Arabidopsis thaliana: one gene and its partners. Each later gene encodes a partner of the first gene's protein in a complex. Each region holds a gene or a part of one and is shown in the gene's direction. Other genes may lie near its edges.

Region 1 (6,740 bases):
GGTTTTCTACTTACAGAGCAAACCGGTGGATATCTTCCTTGGAACCAAACTTAAGCTTTACGCAATCTTCTCCAACAACGATGAGTGTTTACATGTATAAGTTTGATATGATTCTTTCTTTTTTCACTTTCTTGACATCTTTTTCTTCTTCTTATTGTATCTGTATTCCATGGATGCAGGATCCTTGCTTTGGTGCCTATTCGAGTATCACAGATCTAATGTTTGGTTTTGATGAGACAATTCTCCAGTCAGCTTTTGGGGTATGTCTTAATCTGCCGATGAATAAGTTACGAATTGTCTATATCTTACTTGGGAAGCAAGATAGGAATTGTGTATATCTTACTTCCCAACTTACTCTAGTAGAGGATATTTTGGGTTGTATTAAGTGATATATTAAATTCAATGGTTTTAATTAGGTTCCTGAGGGGATTATAGAGCTGATGAGGAACCGTACGAAGCCACCATTGATCGTGAGTGAGACGCTTTGCACACCAGGTGTGGCCAACACTTGGCAGCTCCAACCGCGATTACTAAAGCTCTTTGCTGGAAGTGCAGACTTGGTGGATAACAAGAAGAAGAAAGAGAAGAAAGAGAAGAAGGAGAAGGTGAAGAAAGCGAAGACATTCAATGTTTTCGAATCTGAACCGGATTTCGAGAGCCCCTACGGTCGTACTATAACGATTAACAGGAAGGATCTGAAAGTTTTAAAAGGCTCAATGGTTGGAGTTTCCATGGTGAATCTCACTCAAGGATCGATGATGGGACCGCACTGGAATCCATGGGCTTGCGAGATTTCGATTGTATTGAAAGGAGCAGGAATGGTTAGGGTTCTTAGGTCTTCGATATCATCAAACACATCATCAGAGTGTAAGAACGTGAGGTTTAAAGTAGAGGAAGGAGATATTTTCGCAGTTCCACGGTTACATCCAATGGCTCAAATGTCTTTCAACAATGACTCGTTAGTGTTCGTTGGGTTTACTACTTCAGCTAAGAATAACGAGCCGCAGTTCTTAGCCGGGGAGGACTCGGCTTTGCGGATGCTTGACCGGCAAGTATTGGCTGCATCGCTTAATGTGAGTAGTGTGACGATTGATGGATTGTTGGGAGCTCAGAAGGAAGCTGTTATCTTGGAATGTCATTCTTGTGCGGAAGGAGAGATAGAGAAGCTTAAGGTGGAGATAGAGAGGAAGAAAATAGATGATGAGAGGAAGAGGAGACATGATGAAAGGAAGAAAGAAGAAGAAGAGGCGAAGAGAGAAGAGGAAGAGAGGAGGAAACGTGAAGAAGAAGAAGAGAAGAAGCGGTGGCCACCTCAACAACCACCACAAGAAGAAGAACTTAGGGAACGGCAACTACCGATGGAGAAAGAATGGGAAATGGAAGGTGAAGAGGAGAGTTAAGCCGGAGGAGTAAAAGAGAAGGCCAACGTACGTCAAGAGTGTGTTTGGTTTGTTGTTAGTGGTTAGAACTTTGGTTCTGACCTCTCTTGTAACTTTTTTTTTCCATAGTCTTGTTTATTTGTTAATGTACTTTTGCATTGTTTTTGTTGTTGCCATGTTTAAAGTTGTATTGTGTTTGTATAATGTTTTGTTTTGTTTAAATCTTTGTAGATGGTAAATGAGAAATAAGTAAATATTTCCGAGAGACTGTTGAGTGACGACGTTACTTCTTGTTATTGATAACTCTGTGGTTTATTATACACTTGTAGTAGTAGTCGTACTTGCTAACTTATGTCATTTGGTTTACAATTGTATAATGTATTTGTAACCCTCTTGCTATAGCTTCGGCATATTAAAGTTTTGAATGGTGATAACGGAGGAGTCGTAGATAATGCAATCAACTTCCCATGCTCTGTTCTCTTGTTGTTGCAAGAGATATTGGAATAAAAGGCAAATTTATCTCAAACACAGATTGGGCCATATCTTGAAAAGGCAAATTCATAAAACTCTCAAAAAGTAGATTTATCCCAAACACGAATTGGGCCAACTATTGGACCGGATGCGCTGAATAATGGGCCTTATCAGATTTGGACCGGCCTGTTTTTATATGACATTTACAAAAATACCCTCACAGGAGGTCCCGTGTTGGCTATAAAAAAATAGAATAATCCGTAATTGCCCTAAAATAGTTTGGTTTCTGCATCCACCCCTTTCTTCGAATCTCGACGGCTGAAACAGATTCTAAATTTATCTCCGGTGAGAAAGAGATAGAGAGCGTTGATTCCGGCGAAAAGATGTCTGAATTCGAAGATCACGAGGGAAACGGTACGGTTGCTGACGCGATTTACGACGAAGAGAATGGTGGCCGCGACGGCGAAATCGAGGATCAATTGGACTCGAAACCCAAGGTAATTTCCCCCCTGATTATCTTCAATCTCCTAGCTTATAGTTGGAGTTTCGAATCTATATTTCCTAGCAATTGGATTGAATTGAGAATCGAATTATGAGATGATTAGTTTTAAAGCTGCTTCTGTTTCATTGATTCTTAAACTGTAATTGATGAGGTTTTGGGTGTGTTTACATGTGCAGAGAGAATCGCGTGACCATGAAAGAGAGACATCAAGAAGTAAAGATAGAGAAAGAGAGAAGGGTCGTGATAAGGACAGAGAAAGAGACTCTGAAGTCTCTCGCCGAAGCAGGGATAGAGATGGAGAGAAAAGCAAGGAGAGGAGTAGAGACAAAGACAGAGATCATCGTGAGCGTCATCACAGAAGTAGTCGTCACAGGGATCATAGCAGGGAGCGTGGTGAAAGAAGAGAACGTGGTGGTAGGGATGATGATGATTACCGTCGAAGCCGTGATCGTGACCATGATAGGTAGACTGTTCTTGAATTGAATTATACATTTTCAATTTAGATTGAATCCTTTTTGATTTTATGGAAGGTACTGATTTGGCTTATTTTTTATTCTTCTAGGCGGAGAGATGATAGAGGAGGAAGACGCAGTCGTCGATCTCGATCTCGTTCAAAGGATAGATCTGAGCGCAGAACAAGGTCACGATCTCCATCGAAAAGGTAGCATTTTTTTCTCATTGGATTACTTACTCTTCTATGAAGTAATTGCTTCAATCTAAGAAAGTTTCTAACCTCACTCAATATATGTTGTTGCAGTAAGCAGCGAGTCAGTGGATTCGATATGGCACCTCCAGCCTCTGCAATGTTAGCTGCTGGTGCTGCTGTTACAGGTATATCTCTTTAATTTAGCACCTTCTCATTAGCATAATGTAGAATTCATACCTAATACACGTACTGGGATTGATAAAATCTGTTTCTCCTGAATAACTACAAAAACATAGGCTGTTTTCTTTCTTTTTTTACTTGGGACATAACGCTAGAACTGAGAGCTTTTGGTTGTTTGGTGGTCTTTGTGTCTCTTGTTTGCTTTTCTGTTTTGGTAAGGCAACACTGGGTGTGGGCTGGTTAGCTCTTATATACAAGGAAGAATTACTGCGTATGGGTATTGCTCATCCTCAGTACATATCACTGGTTTTGTTAGTCTTGCAAAAATTTTCCATGCAGACTTAAACCTCTTGATGTCACCAATACATTTCCAGGGATGGTAAACTAGGTTTTCTCATATGTAATTTTCTTATGTATTAACCTGTTTTTCTTTTGTAGGCCAAGTTCCTCCCGCTCCACCAACTCTTCCTGGGGCTGGAATGTTTCCCAACATGTTTCCATTGCCGACTGGACAGGTCTGTGGTCTTTCCCTTTTAATATTTTCTTAATTGATGTCTTTCTTGAACTAAGTCGTCTATGTCCTACAGTCATTTGGGGGACTCTCTATGATGCCAATTCAGGCTATGACACAGCAGGTTAGATTTTATTTATCATGGATATACGCAAGATACTATGTATTTCTCTGTTCTAATTTAATCCTTATTTACTTTGTGTCTTCAGGCAACTAGACATGCTCGCAGAGTCTATGTCGGTGGGCTTTCCCCTACGGCAAATGAACAGGTTATTATCCACTTTCTTTTTTCATTTTCTCCCACTGAAATATGTTTCAGCAAATAATGATACTAACATTGATTTATTATTTTGTATTTGCAGTCTGTGGCTACATTTTTTAGTCAAGTTATGGCTGCTGTTGGTGGAAACACTGCTGGTCCAGGTACATAATCCTGGTGCAGATGCTAGAGTGTCTATTATGATACTTGGATTAATCTTTTTTTATAAATCTTTTTTCTTACTCGCAGGTGATGCAGTTGTTAATGTCTACATAAACCACGAGAAGAAGTTTGCTTTTGTGGAGATGCGATCTGTTGAAGAGGCAAGTAACGCTATGTCTTTGGATGGGATTATATTTGAGGTATGTTTTAATGTTTACCGCACTACCAAATATTTGGTTGAGTTTTAGTACTGGCATTTCTTTGGTATATAGGTTACCCAACTGAATGCTTATCTTTCTTTTTCTTTTTTTCTTTTCCAGGGAGCTCCGGTGAAGGTGAGGAGACCTAGTGACTATAACCCATCTCTAGCTGCGACTCTTGGTCCAAGCCAGCCCAGTCCCCATCTAAACTTAGCTGCTGTTGGTCTGACTCCAGGTGCTTCTGGTGGGCTTGAGGGACCAGATCGTATTTTTGTTGGTGGACTTCCATATTACTTCACGGAATCACAAGTGAGGGAGTTGTTGGAGTCCTTTGGAGGCCTCAAGGGCTTTGATCTTGTAAAAGATCGAGAAACAGGGAACTCTAAAGGATATGCCTTTTGTGTGTACCAAGATCTTTCTGTTACAGATATCGCGTGCGCTGCCCTAAATGGTATCAAGATGGGAGATAAGACTCTTACAGTGAGACGTGCCAACCAGGGAACAATGCTACAAAAGCCTGAACAAGAGAACGTATTATTGCATGCACAGCAGCAAATAGCTTTTCAGGTAATTTTTTTTCTTCTTAATAATATTGGAAGAAAACAAAATGAGCTTGCAAAACGTGTTGAGACCTAACTTGAATATTTCCATTTATAAGATTAAAAGACTGATTGATGGTTTTATCTTTTGCAGAGGGTTATGTTACAGCCTGGTGCAGTGGCAACCACTGTGGTGTGTCTGACTCAAGTTGTTACTGAGGATGAGCTTAGAGATGATGAGGAGTATGGAGATATAATGGAAGACATGAGACAGGAAGGCGGAAAGTTTGGTAAGAGACCTCTTAATTGCGCAATATGGTCTATTTTGAAATATAAGATTAAAAGCATATTGATCTGTCTCTCTGTTTTCTTGGTTGTGCTGTTTTACAGCCTTTTGCTATAAAGAATCAGCCCTAACATACACAGACAGGAGACTGCATAAACCTCCTAATCTATTTATCACCAATGGCCACTATTTCTTAAAAGAAAAAACTGACTTGTTTTTGTCTGTGTTTTCTTGTCTTGTATTCGAAATGTTTTGTTCTTTAACTCTTAAAATGCAGGTGCTTTGACCAATGTTGTGATTCCGCGTCCAAGCCCCAATGGTGAGCCAGTGGCAGGCCTTGGCAAGGTAAACTTATCTCTCTCTCTTTCTCTCTACTTCTTGTATATTTCTATTTAGTCGTAATCTGACTGTCTGATATATTTAATGTGCAGGTGTTTTTGAAGTATGCCGATACAGATGGCTCGACTAGGGCAAGATTCGGGATGAATGGTAGGAAATTTGGAGGAAATGAAGTCGTTGCAGTGTATTACCCTGAAGACAAGTTTGAACAGGGTGATTATGGAGCCTGATCACTTCTTTGTTTGCTTTCTATTACTTAAAAGTTAAGTACTTTGCTTCAGTTTCAAGACCCTTTTGCGTGATTGTAAGAGTATGAGATTATCGACACGTTGCTTATTATAACGTTTTTATCTCATATCTTTGGTCTATTTCTTAAATATTTATCTCAAAAATTATTCACAGAATAACATCATGAGTCCCTCGTAAAACATCATTCGTCTCTCGTAAATGTGACATATGTTCTAAATCAACACAAGAAGTTGAGTACTCTCTCTATTGAAATATTCAAGTAGTTTGGTTCTCTTCTGATAGAAGAAAAAAGAAAGAAAAAGAAGCAAACTTGTAAAACCCAAAAATCTCTGTTAAGCCACTAAAACCCTAAAGGCGTCTCCTTTTCTCGCCACCACTCTCCACAATACCCATTTCTGCAAAATGGCTTCTTCTCGTATTTCTCTCCGCCTTGTTCGCCGATTTGCCTCAGCCGCCGCTGACGGTACGACCACCGCTCCCTCTTCAGGCAAAATCTCTGTCTCCAAAGCTAAGTCCACTCTCCGGAAAGAACACGATCCCGACAAAGCTCTTAAGATCTACGCCAATGTCTCCGATCACTCAGCCTCTCCTGTTTCATCTCGCTACGCCCAAGAGCTCACTGTTCGTCGCCTCGCCAAGTGTCGCCGTTTCTCAGACATCGAAACCCTAATTGAATCCCACAAAAATGATCCCAAAATCAAAGAAGAACCTTTCTACTCTACGCTTATCAGATCTTACGGCCAAGCCTCTATGTTTAATCACGCCATGAGAACCTTCGAGCAGATGGATCAATACGGCACACCCAGATCAGCTGTTTCCTTCAACGCCTTGCTCAACGCTTGTCTCCATTCCAAGAATTTCGATAAAGTCCCCCAACTGTTCGACGAAATTCCTCAGAGGTACAATAAGATCATCCCTGACAAAATCTCTTACGGTATATTGATTAAGTCATACTGTGACTCTGGTACCCCTGAAAAAGCCATTGAGATTATGAGACAGATGCAAGGTAAAGGCATG
Region 2 (4,845 bases), on another chromosome or scaffold:
GAAATGCATGTAAGGGTGATGTTTTGAACAGAGTAGATCATCATATATATATTCTACAGAAAACATAAAAAAAAAATAAAATCAATACATTTTGAAAGATTATACATAATTCTTAGTTTTTTTAAAACAAACATTTGAGAGGGATGGAAATGCAAAAAAAAAAACCTTTATAAATCAATTCATGTCAAAGGTATGTTCACTAAAAATGTATCTTTTCCAACAAACACATATGTTAAACCATACGTTTTTCCAACCTAATGTAAGTAACACATTTACCATTTTCTATTAATTTATTAATCAAGATCAAACATCAAAAAAATGTGTTATTACTTTTTAGTTTTTTTTTTTGCATTTCAGTTTTGTGTGAAAAAAAAAACAAGAATTGGTATCTCAAGAACGTAAAAGAAAATTATCATTACTATTTTATTATCTTTGGCTTCTACATCCAATTATTTACTTGCTTAATTTTATTCATCTGAATTATTTTTTGGTGTAAGAAGAATGTTTCGCCGCAAAAAAAAAAATCTGATCCGACATCATTAGAACAAAAAAAAACATTGGCGTTGAATATAAGCTGCTTCTCTTGTTCTTCTTCTACCTTACGCTTCTGACTGTTATTAGAGACTATGTAAATGGCTGATTCCGAGACTCCGTATCACCCCGACCCTGAGGATCTCCGGCGTATACCAGTCGATCTCTTCGCTTCCAAAAAGCTTCCCGGACTTTCCTCCGGCGATCTCGGATTTGCCGATTCTTCCGAACATCTCGTCTTCATCCTCCGCAAATCTTCTTCCTCCTTGAAATCTCTCCTTGATTCCTCCGGAGTTCCTCTCTTCTCCATCTCTCGTCTCCACGTAAGCCTCCTTCGTCCCAAATTTCATCGATTTTGGCAATTCTCATCGCTACTTGTTTAAATCTCATTATTCATTACATAGTCCACACGATGTTTATACTTTTTGATTGTTTGGGTTTTGTTAGTTAGTCACTGGCTTGAGATATATCATAAGAACACTTACAGATCTTTGTATATGTATTGGAATGTAGAATGGAGTGTGGGAATTACATAAAGGAGATGTGGAAAAGCGTAAGGATTTGGTTCTAACGGTGAAGCGGACATCGAAAAGATTCAGTAAGACAGAGTCAGAGGTCTCTTTTGCTGGAGAATCGTCCGAAAATCTTGTTATCAAAGGTGTTCCCTTTCAGAAATCTTGTACCATTTATAGTCAAGATTCCATTGTTGCACAGGTAAAGATACTCATCTTCTCCCAATTACAGCACTATTGAACATTCTATAGCTAGACAAGAGTCAATACCGTGTTATACTGGTTTTGATTACCGGGTTCAAAACTCATCGTTTGGATCATGCTTGCTGATGGATAAACAACCAACCCTTTGTTTCGTTCATTTGAAGTCGGATTCATTAGGCTTGTAAAATTTGCTTGGATTCTAATACACTTGTTTTAAAGATTTTTGTTGTTGTTGTTGTGTTTGAACATTTGCCTCAATCTGATTTATGTTCCTTTAAATGTGGTGGCAGACGAGTTTGATGTACAAGCTGAGACAGATTTACGTAGGGAGAAGCAAGTTCCGGTTAACGATATTTCCTGGATCCATCGATCATTCACTAGTAGTCGCAATGGTTGCCATATTTCTTCAAGGATGAAAGTGAAACATCCTCGATTTATTTTCTCAGTGTAAAGAAAAATGTAACACAGAAACAAAAAGGCATTTTAGTACATTGCATTTTTAATGCCTTTTGATTCAATCGGCTCACACGTGAATTGTATTATCTATCACATGAATATTGAGATATACTAAGGTCTAAGGTTAAATCTTTTTTCAGAACAAATTTGCAAGCTCAGCTGGAAAAATACAACATCATTTACATTATTTTAAAAAGTTGTTGAACATTTGAATCAAAATGATTCACAAGACTTTTGTTGGAATTTTGCAATAAAAAAATTGATCTCGAGTCTATAAAAGTCCAATCCCGACCACTCATTCTATTTCCGGTTCAATTCTGTCTAGCCGGTCAAATTCAAATCCGGTCCATCCGGTCGGCTCATTCACGTTGGTACAAAAGTTTAGGAAATCGAACCAACAAACTAAACGGCGTCGTTAAATAGTCTGATGTTGAAACGCAGCTATTTCTTTTACTCTTCTTCGTCTCTCTCATTCCCAGTTCCCACCATTAGGGCTCTCTCTAAATTCCTCAGTCTCGAGAATCTTCATCGTCTTCACGAGCTCACTCGAAGATGTTAACGGCAGATATACCACCGAATCAATCAATCTACATCCAAAACCTCAACGAAAGGATCAAGAAAGAGGGTAAACTTCTCTTCTCGTTTAATCTAATTCGTCAAGTAAATTTCCAAATTCTTAGATGTTGAAACCTCCATGAACTTCCTGTACCAATGATTCAAGCTTCTACAGTACTGAATGTTAGGGTTTTTGCTTGTTTTTAGCTTATATAGAGTGTTCGTTTCTAAATACTAGGGTTTCAGAATCGTATTGAATCTAGTGACAAGGTTATAAGGAAGATATATATGTTGGTGTTGTCTGTTTTCGCCATTGTATGGATAATTGTTATAGACGTGTGAAGTAGTGTTGGCTCAGGGCAGTATCATCAATCTCATGCTTTATCTGACTTGGTTTTTGTTTTCTCAGAATTGAAGAGATCTCTTTACTGTTTGTTCTCTCAGTTTGGGAGGATACTTGATGTGGTTGCTTTGAAGACTCCGAAGCTCCGAGGACAAGCTTGGGTTACTTTTAGTGAAGTCACTGCTGCTGGTCATGCTGTTCGTCAGATGCAAAATTTTCCCTTCTATGATAAACCAATGGTCAGTATTTCATCACTCTTGAGTATATCAATCTCTTTATAGTTTCCATGAAAGTGATCTTCTATGTGTTGTATAGATCGATAGAAGCAAATCGTTAGTGTGTTTGTGTAATTGATTACTAACAATTTGTTTTGGAACCTTTGACCTTTTTCTATTCCCAATCCATTGGTAGTCATATATGTGTTTAGATTTTGTTGCTGTTGATGAGTAACCAATGATTAGTATCCACTACCTTTTCTGTCTTGAGTATATCAATCTCTGTATAATTTCCCTGGAAGTGATATTCTGTGTGTTGTATAGATTGATTGATGCGGTAAAAGCAGAAATCCTTAGTGTGTTTATGTGATTACCAATGATTACCTTTGACTGTGTTATTCTCAATCAACATTTAGTTATATGTGTGTTTGGATTTTGTTGCTGACCTTCTCAAATCACATTCTCTTATGATTTCTGTTGTCAAAATGTTTGTTCTGTTTGATATATACATTGTTTTTATAACTAAATCTTACCTCTTTCGATTGTTTGTAAACTATTCAACTACTTCCAATCAGGTTGAGATTTATTATTATTCATACTTTTTATGTGATCTTTTAAGTGCAGCGCTTACAATATGCAAAAGCAAAGTCAGATTGTCTAGCTAAAGCTGAGGGAACTTTCGTTCCAAAAGATAAGAAGAGGAAGCAAGAAGAAAAAGGTTTTAAACTTTATTTCTTCTTTTTGCATTTTGTCGTAGATGTTGGTTCAATGATACAACTATAAAATTTTCACTTGCATCTAAAGTTAACAAACTTCCTTTCTTACTTTCAGTTGAAAGAAAGCGTGAAGATTCCCAACGACCAAACACGGCTAATGGCCCAAGTGCTAATGGTCCAAGTGCCAATAACGGAGTCCCTGCGGTAAGTGTTCTTGTTCTCACCTTCATCTTCAGAAAAATCTTCCATTGTTGGATCATGTGAACCAAACTATTGTTATCTGGAGATGATGCTGATGTTTTGCGTTTTATCTCTGCTCTTCTTAATGCAGCCTTCGTTCCAGCCGAGCGGGCAAGAAACAATGCCACCAAACAACATACTCTTCATTCAGAATCTCCCACACGAGACAACAAGCATGATGCTACAGCTTCTCTTCGAACAGTACCCTGGATTCAAAGAGATAAGAATGATCGACGCAAAACCAGGAATCGCGTTTGTAGAGTACGAAGATGATGTTCAAGCTTCCATAGCTATGCAACCTCTTCAAGGTTTCAAAATCACTCCCCAGAATCCAATGGTCATCTCTTTCGCCAAGAAATGATAAGAGTCTTGTTTTTGTTTGTTTGTTGTCCTTTAAGACGATAGTACTGGACCAACCAAACCTGGTGTGTATAACCAACCAACGGTTCTATTGGTTAACGGATTAATCCGGTTTTGGTTTAATCATTGAAAGAGACCCTTGAAACGCGGTTTCACACTTGACGATTTATCACAAATTAGGAGACGACTCATCAAAAAAGAATATCTTACTGGTCAACCATTTTATAGAAATATTAAAATCAAAAATGATATTTAGGCCAAAGTAGAAAAAGACAAGAAGAGAGAGAAACAAAAAAAACCTTGCTCAATACGCCACCGTCGTCGTCTTTAACCCAATCTAAAAGCCTCTGTTCTTTTTTAGTTTTATCCTCTTTTTCATTTCAAGATCAATTTCATAAAAAAGTTTCCTTTTTTAGCGAATCCTCTGTTTTAGAAATCTTAAAGTTGTCTCCTTTATTAAAGACCATCATGTCTTCCACTTCTTTCACCGACCTTCTTGGTTCTTCCGGCGTTGACTGTTACGAAGATGATGAAGACTTGAGAGTTTCTGGGTCGAGTTTTGGTGGGTACTATCCAGAGAGAACCGGGTCTGGTTTACCTAAGTTCAAGACGGCTCAACCACCACCTCTTCCGATTTCACAATCTTCTCATAACTTCACTTTCTCCGATTACCTTGATTCTCCTCTGCTTCTCAGCTCCTCACACGTAATAAA
Region 3 (4,408 bases), on another chromosome or scaffold:
TTTATTAATTATTTCTCAAAATAAGTCGTAATTGAGTGCCGTTTTAAAAATCTTGAGGTGAGCTTCTCTCCATCTGAATAGAAAGAAGAGAAAAGGAATAATTCTTGTCGTCATAGTTCAAACTTCAAGTGGACTCTCGACGACATTTCAATAATACACACATACTTATCTAATCCTGTCACTGAATGGAGTCTTGGTTCAAGAAAGGTGCGCACTAAATAGTAAATAAAAAACTACAAAATTATATCATTGCTCTTGGGAATGATTGGATGTTATAGGCTAATCCCAAATTAATATCTGGACATAATATATTGTCACGTCCGGTTTTTGTTAAGTGACTGATTTAAAAGTGAAACTCATAAGTGATAAAGCACAAAATTACGATTTAGCCTCTATTGTCTTTTCCAAACAAACCATTCTAAACTAGAACCATGGTTCAAGTGGTAAAAGTTTTTATTTGAATATTGTGATTTTGGGAGATATAGGCATGGGCAAAAAAACCCAATAATTTTAATAACTGACCAAACTGAACCGTATCAAAACCAAAGTTCTTAAAATAATCGAATGGTTAGTTGTTAATGAGAGAAAGTTACACTCGAAAATTAGAAAAATTATCAAGTAATATACTTATAAATGATTAGTTTCATTGCCAATTGGTTTTAAGTTAGAAACTCATCTTAAACCCAAATATGTTATTAGTAAAATAAGGGTGATTCAAACCATTTCTTCTCTAGAAAAAGCATTAGAAGAGCTAAAGATGCACTCAGTTAATAATGCTAGGATGATGCTAGGATTATTAGCATTAGAAGAGCTAAAAGGTTGTATCTTAGCCTCTTTAATAATGCTAGGATGATGTGATGGAAATATGTTGGTAGCAGAAGGTGAACTTCGAGGCATGAGTGGTTACCATGCCGTTGTCATGGTCATAATTATGTTCATTTGTACACACCTACTAGCATTACGCAAATAAATAATAGTGTCAAAATTGGTTTTTATGGTTATATCTTTGTTTGCCTATCGACTATATATCTAGTGATCGATTCCGATGAATAAAGTAGAGGATTGGTTAGGCCTACAAATAGGCTGATGCATCTATTGTCTAATTTGTGATGCTTAATGAGTGAATTATTATTATAAATAAAAATTTGAACGAAATAGTTTTCTTCACTTAGTTCAAAAACTAGAGGTAATAGTCTCTCTCTTTTTTTTTTTTTTTTTTTTTGGGTCAAATAGTCTCCCTCTTAAGTTTTATTTTCCTCTCTCATCCTCATCATCTGAGATGTATGGGTTAGTATATACATAAAAGTATGAGCATAAAAAGAGCTTTCTTCATTTACATAAAATATTCAGTGGACATAGAAAAGAGCTTTCTTTATATTTTTTAATTAAAATTTGAATTTACGACGAGATTTCAATTTGGGGTTTAGAAACAGTGTTTTTCTCAGGATCTCTACTTGTGAAGTTTTCGCTTGTGTTTTCTTAGTGTTTTCTCCTTGTGTTGTGTTGTAGTTTTTGGGGATTTATGTAGATTTCAATTTCTTTTTTTTTTGTATTTTCGGTAAGTTTTATCAACTTTTTTTGAAAATCGTATAAATACTTAAGAGTGATACTCATTTTTTTTTTGAATTCCTTTTATATGCTGAGAGCTTTTTTTTAATTTTGAATTATTATTATTTAACATCTGACATTTTAATTTTATAATCAGTAATTGCATGAATATGAGGCATTATTGTTACTGTACCATATCGCATGCGGCCCATTTTAAGCCCAAATCAAGGAATAACTTTTGAAGGACATTTAAAGTTGACCCACAAAAAATAACTTTCATCTTCAATTTCGAATCGATAACCCTAATTTCTCACAGACGAGCAAGAGAAAGAGCCAAAGCCGTTTCTTCAGGTAAATCCCGATCTCCGTTGTCACTTCTTTACTCCAGATTCATTCGTAGTTTCGATCTATAGATTTCATCTTTTTGAATTCATCGCTTTCAAAGTTTTTGAATTGAAGCCTTTTGTTGATAGGTAACTTGAGGATGTCGCGTGTGTATGTTGGTAATTTGGATCCGCGAGTTACTGAACGTGAACTCGAGGATGAGTTTCGTTCCTTTGGTGTGATCAGGAGGTACATAAATTGACTCCTTTTTGGTTTTTAGTTGATGTAAAGTGTGTGAATTTGCATTTATCCTCATTGTTCTTTTGGTGTCTGTGCAGTGTCTGGGTTGCTAGAAGACCTCCTGGTTACGCTTTTCTTGATTTTGAAGATTCAAGAGATGCCCGTGACGCCATCCGTGAAGTAGATGGTATTCGTTGGTCTTCTATTCTACTGGTCTGGTTTTATGAGTTGTTATGAGTTGTTATGAGTTTGATATATATATGATCTATATTGTTATGGTAGGCAAGAATGGATGGAGGGTAGAGCAGTCTCATAACCGTGGTGGTGGTGGAGGTCGTGGTGGTGGTCGTGGAGGAGGTGATGGTGGTCGTGGACGTGGTGGTTCTGATTTGAAGTGCTATGAGTGTGGTGAGTCTGGTCACTTTGCACGTGAATGTCGTTCTCGTGGTGGTTCTGGTGGTAGGCGTCGTAGCCGCAGCCGTAGTCGCAGTCCTCCTAGATACAGAAAGAGTCCTACCTATGGAGGACGAAGGTTATTGTCCCTATTCTTTCTGATTGACGATTTGCAACTAAAAGAAATTGGTCTACCTCATTGATTTATTACCTTGTCTTTTGGTTTCACAGAAGTTACAGCCCTCGTGCTAGATCTCCTCCTCCTCCAAGACGTCGTAGTCCTTCTCCTCGTGGTCGCAACTACAGTAGGTCACCACCACCTTATAGAGCACGTGACGAGGTGCCATATGCTAATGGGTAAAACTCCCCTTGCTCTTGAGTCTACTGTATCTCAATCAATATAAGAAATTGAAACTGAACTAGTGGCATTATCGTCCCAAAGACTTTTTTGTTAGACGTTGTGTTAAAAAACAGAGTCCATGTGGCTGATAAGTTTTTGTATTTGTTTATGCAGAAATGGTCTGAAAGATGTGCGCAGAAGCCGGAGCTGAGTGTTACTTGTCTAGATAGCAAATTATGGGATCAGGAGACAACTATTTGCTTGTGACGTCAAGAGGAGAGGAAATTAGTATCTGTGAATTTCACTAAGAGAATATGTTTTAGCTGTGTGGTGGATTGGATATGCTTGCTACTTTTGAATTGCTGGAAAGCTTCTTATTGCGTTTGGATTATGAAGCCATAGTTGTATCTGCCGTTAGGTAAAGTACTTTTAAATATCTACCCATGTTCTTAAAAGACATAAACAAAAGCTCTGCTAAAAACCTATGCATTTTCTTTGTTTTTTGTTCTATCATCTCGAGGTTTCTTCAGGTTTCTACTGCTTCATTGCTTATCTGCTTTTGGCTTCTTGGTTAATTTGGTCGGCCTGCTATGGGATCTTCATAGTAGTTTACCACAACTTCTGCTTCATTGCTTATCTGCTTCTCGCTTCTTCGTTATTTTGATCTGCCTACTTTGGGATCTTCATAATTGTTTACCACTACTTCTGCTTCATTGCTTAACTGCTTCTGGCTTCTTGGTTATTTTGATCGGCCTGCTTTGGGATCTTTATGTTAGTTCACATCTACTCTGCTTCTCATCTAGATGCTCTTATGTTTGAAAACTTCATCGGCTCTGATGATTGCTGGTCTTGCTTTTCTTGAACTTAAAATGGCCGAGGAGTTGCACTTGCTACTCTGGCAGGTATTTAATACCTTTCAGGCAGGCTTCGAAGAAACTTGTCTTACGGTGTAGAATAGTTTAGAGTATGTAGAACGTCTCTGCTTTGTTTGAGGTGGGCACTTGGATAAACACTTATCGCCATCTGCAATAGTCATTCCTTTGGTTTCATCACGTTTGGTACATGGACTAATCTTTAAACGAGAGATTTTTCTGCTCATTGGTTTCAATTTCATCATGTTTGATTCAAGGATCATTCTGTCTTTATTGAAGGCTTTTTGGCTGCCTCCTCTTCTGATGATGCTTTGGTTTAAAACCCTAGTAAAAGGAGTAGATTTTCATAAGTTTCTTATCTTTGTCCTGTTTTGTTGTGTCCTGAAAATACTTATTTTTTATGAAAAATAATTTACAGATATCCAACTTCATGAGTTTGTTCACTTTTTATATTTAGCAAAACTTTGTTGTCATATGTTTTACTTATCATCATAATCAACTAAACATGATGACGACGATATCTCCTAACAACTAGAATCGAGCAATTTTGTGTTCGTACTTATTCAAGTGACTAGATTTGAAGTTGTTATTTTTGATGAAACATGTACTGAGTATTGATATAAAACATGTAAAACATCATTGACAACATTTTTCATTCTTTTTGGACTTTAAATGATAGAGATAACATAGG
Region 4 (5,292 bases), on another chromosome or scaffold:
CTTCCAAATCAGCAATCAAAGAACTTGTCAAACAACTAAATCGCCGTTACCTAGATTTATAAAAATCACCCCTTTGATTGCTGAGTGACCTCGTCCCCGTCACGCCTTTTTTCTTAAAGAATAATTTAAGAAAAAAATAATAATATCTCGTCGTCCTTTTAGGCTTTCTCCGATTGTTCTTAATATTCCTCCAAACTTTCTCTCAATCTCCGTCAAAATAATCACTCTCTCTTTGTTTTTTCTCACAATTCTCCGAACATGCGTTTGCTTTCTTTATTCTCTAATAAACCTAGTAAACTCTTCTTCTTCGTTACTACTATATAATATAGCGGAGAGTTTTGGAACCAGAGAGAGGTTTTACGTTTTTCTTATTTTATTTCTCTCCATGGGGATTCTTTGGGATTCGTTTCTCTTGTTACTTGTGTCAACGTTTGCTCTGTTCTTAGTTAGGATCCTGTTATTCAAAACTGGATTGATTTACATGGTCAAGTTATGGCGTAGGAAGATCATCGACTGGTTTCATGTTTACCAATTCTACAAAGTCCCAGAATTCAACGACAACGTTCAAGAGAATCATCTCTACCAAAAAGTCTACATGTATCTAAATTCCTTAAGCTCGATCGAGAATTCTGATTTCACGAACCTCTTCACCGGGAAAAAGTCCAACGAAATCATCCTCCGGTTAGATCGGAACCAAGTCGTTGGCGACGAGTTTCTCGGCGCTAGAGTTTGTTGGATTAACGGAGAAGACGAAGATGGAGCGAGGAATTTCGTTTTGAAGATTCGTAAAGCTGACAAACGGAGAATTCTCGGTTCTTATCTCCAGCATATACATACAGTATCTGATGAGCTTGAACAGAGGAACACAGAGCTTAAGCTTTTCATCAACGTCGGAATCGATGATCATCTGAATAAGAAGAAGAAGAAGAACGGACGGTGGAGATCGATTCCGTTTGATCATCCTTGTACCTTCGACAACATCGCCATGGAAACGGATCTGAAGAACAAAGTCAAATCTGATCTCGAATCTTTCCTCAAAGGTAAACAGTATTATAATCGTCTGGGCCGTGTTTGGAAACGGAGTTATCTCTTATACGGACCTTCCGGTACCGGAAAATCAAGCTTCGTCGCAGCAATGGCGAATTTCTTAGATTACGATGTTTACGATATAGATCTCTCCAAAGTAGTTGATGATTCAGATCTTAAGATGCTTCTGTTACAAACCAGAGGCAAATCAGTGATCGTGATCGAAGATCTAGATCGACACCTCTCGACGAAATCAACGGCTGTGAATTTATCTGGGATTTTGAATTTCACTGATAGTATTCTCAGCTCTTGCACCGCCGATGAACGGATCATGGTGTTTACGATGACTGGGAAAGAACAAATTGACCCGGCTATGCTTCGACCGGGTCGGGTCGACGTACACATTCATTTTCCCTTATGTGATTTCACGGCGTTTAAAACGCTCGCTAATAACTACTTAGGTGTTAAAGAGCACAAGCTTTTCTCTCAAGTTGAAGGAATATTTCAAAACGGTGCGTCTTTGAGTCCCGCCGAGATCGGAGAGTTGATGATCGCGAATCGTAACTCGCCGACTCGTGCATTGAAGCATGTCATCAATGCTTTGCAGACTGATGGTGATCGGAGAGGAACTGGACGACGTTTGCTTTTAGAAAATGGTTCGAGAAAGTCGACGTCGGAGGATGTTTCTGATGATATGAGTGGTTCGCTTTGCGGCGGTGGCGGAGGAAGTTCGCCGGCGGTGAAGGAGTTTAGGAAGTTGTATGGGTTGTTGAGAATTAAAAGTAGTAGAAAATCTGGATCGTTCGATGTGGCTCGAGAGATGAGGGACGGCTAGTGATTAAAAAGTTTTTAAAAGTCAGCAGCCACGTGGGTTGGTTTTATTGGTTGAGAGAGAGTCTGGACAAAAAGCGTAGACTAGAGAAAGTTGTTACTCTGTTTTTATTGTTTTTGGGTTTTAGTTGATGTACAGAAGTTTATAAGATTTTGCTTTTGAGTCCCCAAAGTATGAGATTCTGAGTTTTGAGCACTTTGTAATTGAACATTTTGGGCCGGTTGTAAAACAAAAGCCCATAGCGTTAAGCGGATTAATAATTTTAACGGAATGACAAATATGCCCTTCATGGTAACAGCGTCAATAACACGCTTTTCGGTTCATCATTATAAGATTTTGTGTCATTAATACGAAGCTCCGTCTTCTTCGCCGAGCGTCGTCGTCGTCTTCTAGGGTTTATCTTTCTCGTCGTCGTCTCTTCAGATTCTTCAAGGTAAATTGAATATCTCCCTCAGAAGATGAAGATTTATCGAATCATCAAAGATACTTTGCGAGCTCTTCGAGTATAAATGTTCTGATCTTTGTTGTCTTTGTTTATGTTGATCACAATTGGTGTTAGGAATTCGATTGCTTTTGCAAGAATGAGACATGTGTACGTTGGGAATTTCGACTATGATACTCGCCATTCGGATCTTGAAAGATTGTTCAGCAAGTTCGGGAGAGTGAAGCGAGTTGATATGAAGTCTGGTAAAACGTTTTCTTGCACTTGTACTCCTTATGGCGATCAATCTGCTGTGTTGTAGTCTCTGTTTGATTCTGGAATTTGAGAGCTTCTCAGGCATTATTGATTGATACTTTTTCTACTGAAGCATGAATTAGTGTTAAGAGTGTGGAGAGAATTCAAAAGGAACCATGACTGGGGTTGTGTTTAAGAGAGGGATTCTCGTATGTAAGTGTTTGTTTGGTCGCAGGAGCTTTCTCTAAAGGAGCATGACTGTGTTTCCTCTTTTCATGGGATTGCCAATTTCTTCCTGCAAATAGATTCCTACATTTTCTCATGCCTACCGTTATGATGTTGTGCCCACAATCTTCGCTGAGCCTACAATCTATTGCCTTGTTTCTTCACGCCTTTCATGTCAGAATGGTGAAGCAAGGCTTAGCAACCATTCAGAATTGAACAGAAATTTGGATTTTATTACCTTTTCATAGGCTACATTCTACAACTGCACATCTACATCTTTATTTACTACTCTACATCGAACGCCTCTACTTCTTATGTACACCAGCCTTCACATTGATGCAGGTGTTGTATATTTATTTAGTTTTTGTCTTTCTCTAGGTGAAAAGGTGTCTTCTAATCGACTAACTCCTGCATTGCAATTTCTGTGGGCTGAAACAGTTTGTCAATGTATATGCTCGCTCTTCTTATCTTGAGTTTTTGTTTTCTTGCAGGTTATGCTTTTGTGTATTTTGAGGATGAGCGCGATGCTGAAGATGCAATCCGTAGGACTGACAATACCACTTTTGGATATGGGCGACGCAAGTTATCAGTTGAATGGGCCAAGGTATCTTTTTCTTCTTTTTAAAAATTAATCTTATGCTCTGATATTTTCAGAGAGCTCTAAGTTTCTTTTGGCTTTCAGGACTTTCAGGGTGAACGTGGGAAGCCTCGTGATGGAAAGGCAGTCTCGAATCAGAGGCCTACAAAGACACTCTTTGTCATCAACTTTGACCCTATTCGCACAAGAGAGCGTGATATGGAGAGACACTTTGAGCCATATGGTAAAGTTCTCAATGTTCGCATGAGGCGCAATTTTGCTTTTGTTCAATTCGCAACCCAGGAAGATGCAACCAAGGCTCTTGATTCTACACACAACAGGTAACAACAAACCTGCTTAGTTAGTACCTATTTATCTGACATGTAGTGATTGATCGAGTGGTAATCCCTTACATTGATTATCCTCTCTTGGCAGCAAATTACTGGATAAGGTTGTTTCTGTTGAGTATGCCTTGAGGGAGGCTGGTGAAAGAGAAGATAGATATGCTGGCAGTCGAAGAAGGAGATCTCCTAGCCCAGTGTATCGGAGGCGTCCTAGTCCTGATTATACCCGTCGTCGCAGTCCTGAATATGACAGGTACAAGGGTCCTGCTCCTTATGAAAGACGTAAGAGTCCAGATTATGGGCGTCGCAGTTCAGACTATGGTAGAGCAAGAGCTAGGAGTCCGGGCTATGACAGAAGGTAACAGTACTTGGCTTCTGAATGGTCAATATCCTTATATATAGTGTTATGTGCTACTCTAATTGTCTGATTTTTCTTTTCTATTTTTTAACAGCCGGTCCCCGATTCAAAGAGCAAGAGGTTGAAGATGTTGTTGGGCGATGGATTTTTAGAATGTATGGGCATGGTACAAAAACAAGTTCTTAGTACTGAGTCTTTACCGCTTATGACTTGAACCGTATGTGCTTTGCACTCTATGTGGTGTAGAAAGTATTAGTAGCTTATAATGGCAATGATCTCTTTTGGAATTGGAATAGTTTCAAGGCAATCCATTCAGTTTTTCAGGATCAAGAAATCATTACTTCATTTTATATTCAGAAACATTTATAGGTTTTGTAGAAGTAAAAAGAGAATACACAAGAAAGGAGGACGATCATTCAAGGCATAGAAGAGAGATTGTGATTACATAGTTCTTGGGTGAGTGCTTTCTCCAACCAAGTTTCGGCGTCTTCCATCATCTCAGGGCTTAACCGAACCATGAGAACGCAGAATTCGGTTTGGTTAAGAGCACCATCTCCATCGAGGTCTCCTTCTCTAACCATTCCTTGAGCATCTTCCTTGCTCATACCTTCAATTCCAAGTATCCCTGAGTTTCGTCTTAGAGACTCAGCTGTGATGAGATGTCTCTCTGGATCCGCAAGCAAACTGAAACCTTTGCATAACTCTGATACAAACTCTTCAACATCCATCTTCTCCGCCATAACTGGTAACATATCTTCGTATTTGGTCTCCATCTTCGTGGTACTAGTAGTTTCTAGTAACATAGATTTCTCGGTTGGTTCCATTAGAGGAAGACAATGGAAGAGAGAGAAGAGATTTTGGTGAACTCTTTTGATTAGTTCCAAAGGGATATATAAGTGAGTGGCGTATCTGTACCGATGTGTTTGTCACGTTCGTGTGGCCTAAAACTCTCTCTTGAATCGCAGCCGTTGGATTCTGAAAGTTGAAATAATGAACGGCTGATATTCATTCCAAGATAAAATGCGATTTCGTGAGTAGGGAGGGAAGCAGCTGATTATTAGGTGGTTTCGTGGAAAGTTCGAATGGGCCGTGAATACGACGCATTCCCACTCCCATATATTGTTATCAAAAGAAAGACAAGACAATGGTAAGTTTCGGAGAAGTTTCGTTTCTTGATTTCTTCCGTCGTGTCTTTCAATTATTTACTTCAATGGAATTGGATTCTCTTACAATAATAACGACATGTCGACATAT

What was found.
Region 2: ATU2AF65A (region 1) and U2B'' share a complex: the UniProt entries of both Arabidopsis thaliana proteins name them as parts of the spliceosome.
Region 3: ATU2AF65A (region 1) and RSZ22a share a complex: the UniProt entries of both Arabidopsis thaliana proteins name them as parts of the spliceosome.
Region 4: ATU2AF65A (region 1) and RS31a share a complex: the UniProt entries of both Arabidopsis thaliana proteins name them as parts of the spliceosome.

Annotation. Positions count from the first base shown.
Region 1 is NC_003075.7:17,293,103-17,299,842, reverse strand, and holds ATU2AF65A (U2 snRNP auxilliary factor, large subunit, splicing factor), read left to right. Parts: upstream 1-2,114; 5' UTR 2,115-2,233; coding exon 2,234-2,347; intron 2,348-2,528; coding exon 2,529-2,815; intron 2,816-2,914; coding exon 2,915-3,013; intron 3,014-3,109; coding exon 3,110-3,183; intron 3,184-3,616; coding exon 3,617-3,693; intron 3,694-3,765; coding exon 3,766-3,813; intron 3,814-3,898; coding exon 3,899-3,958; intron 3,959-4,051; coding exon 4,052-4,112; intron 4,113-4,197; coding exon 4,198-4,310; intron 4,311-4,430; coding exon 4,431-4,877; intron 4,878-5,003; coding exon 5,004-5,139; coding exon of another isoform or gene 5,140-5,412; coding exon 5,413-5,480; intron 5,481-5,566; coding exon 5,567-5,704; 3' UTR 5,705-5,896; downstream 5,897-6,740. Other genes in the region: AT4G36700 (RmlC-like cupins superfamily protein), read left to right, coding at 1-94, 180-260, 417-1,400; AT4G36680 (Tetratricopeptide repeat (TPR)-like superfamily protein), read left to right, coding at 6,126-6,740. UniProt on the Arabidopsis thaliana protein: Necessary for the splicing of pre-mRNA.
Region 2 is NC_003071.7:12,904,845-12,909,689, reverse strand, and holds U2B'' (U2 small nuclear ribonucleoprotein B), read left to right. Parts: upstream 1-2,024; 5' UTR 2,025-2,255; coding exon 2,256-2,328; intron 2,329-2,667; coding exon 2,668-2,840; intron 2,841-3,440; coding exon 3,441-3,534; intron 3,535-3,647; coding exon 3,648-3,736; coding exon of another isoform or gene 3,737-3,796; exon of another isoform or gene 3,797-3,863; coding exon 3,864-4,133; 3' UTR 4,134-4,345; downstream 4,346-4,845. Other genes in the region: AT2G30270 (LURP-one-like protein (DUF567)), read left to right, coding at 633-854, 1,045-1,245, 1,538-1,663; WRKY25 (WRKY DNA-binding protein 25), read left to right, coding at 4,601-4,837. UniProt on the Arabidopsis thaliana protein: Involved in nuclear pre-mRNA splicing.
Region 3 is NC_003071.7:10,447,805-10,452,212, forward strand, and holds RSZ22a (RNA recognition motif and CCHC-type zinc finger domains containing protein), read left to right. Parts: upstream 1-1,826; 5' UTR 1,827-1,899; intron 1,900-2,021; 5' UTR 2,022-2,032; coding exon 2,033-2,121; intron 2,122-2,210; coding exon 2,211-2,299; intron 2,300-2,394; coding exon 2,395-2,644; intron 2,645-2,736; coding exon 2,737-2,862; intron 2,863-3,019; coding exon 3,020-3,056; 3' UTR 3,057-3,380; downstream 3,381-4,408. UniProt on the Arabidopsis thaliana protein: Probably involved in intron recognition and spliceosome assembly.
Region 4 is NC_003071.7:19,135,640-19,140,931, reverse strand, and holds RS31a (RNA-binding (RRM/RBD/RNP motifs) family protein), read left to right. Parts: upstream 1-2,169; 5' UTR 2,170-2,291; intron 2,292-2,417; 5' UTR 2,418-2,439; coding exon 2,440-2,545; exon of another isoform or gene 2,546-3,073; coding exon of another isoform or gene 3,074-3,101; exon of another isoform or gene 3,102-3,204; coding exon of another isoform or gene 3,205-3,250; coding exon 3,251-3,363; intron 3,364-3,441; coding exon 3,442-3,677; intron 3,678-3,771; coding exon 3,772-4,038; intron 4,039-4,132; coding exon 4,133-4,163; 3' UTR 4,164-4,366; downstream 4,367-5,292. Other genes in the region: AT2G46620 (P-loop containing nucleoside triphosphate hydrolases superfamily protein), read left to right, coding at 386-1,861; AT2G46600 (Calcium-binding EF-hand family protein), read right to left, coding at 4,455-4,862. UniProt on the Arabidopsis thaliana protein: Probably involved in intron recognition and spliceosome assembly.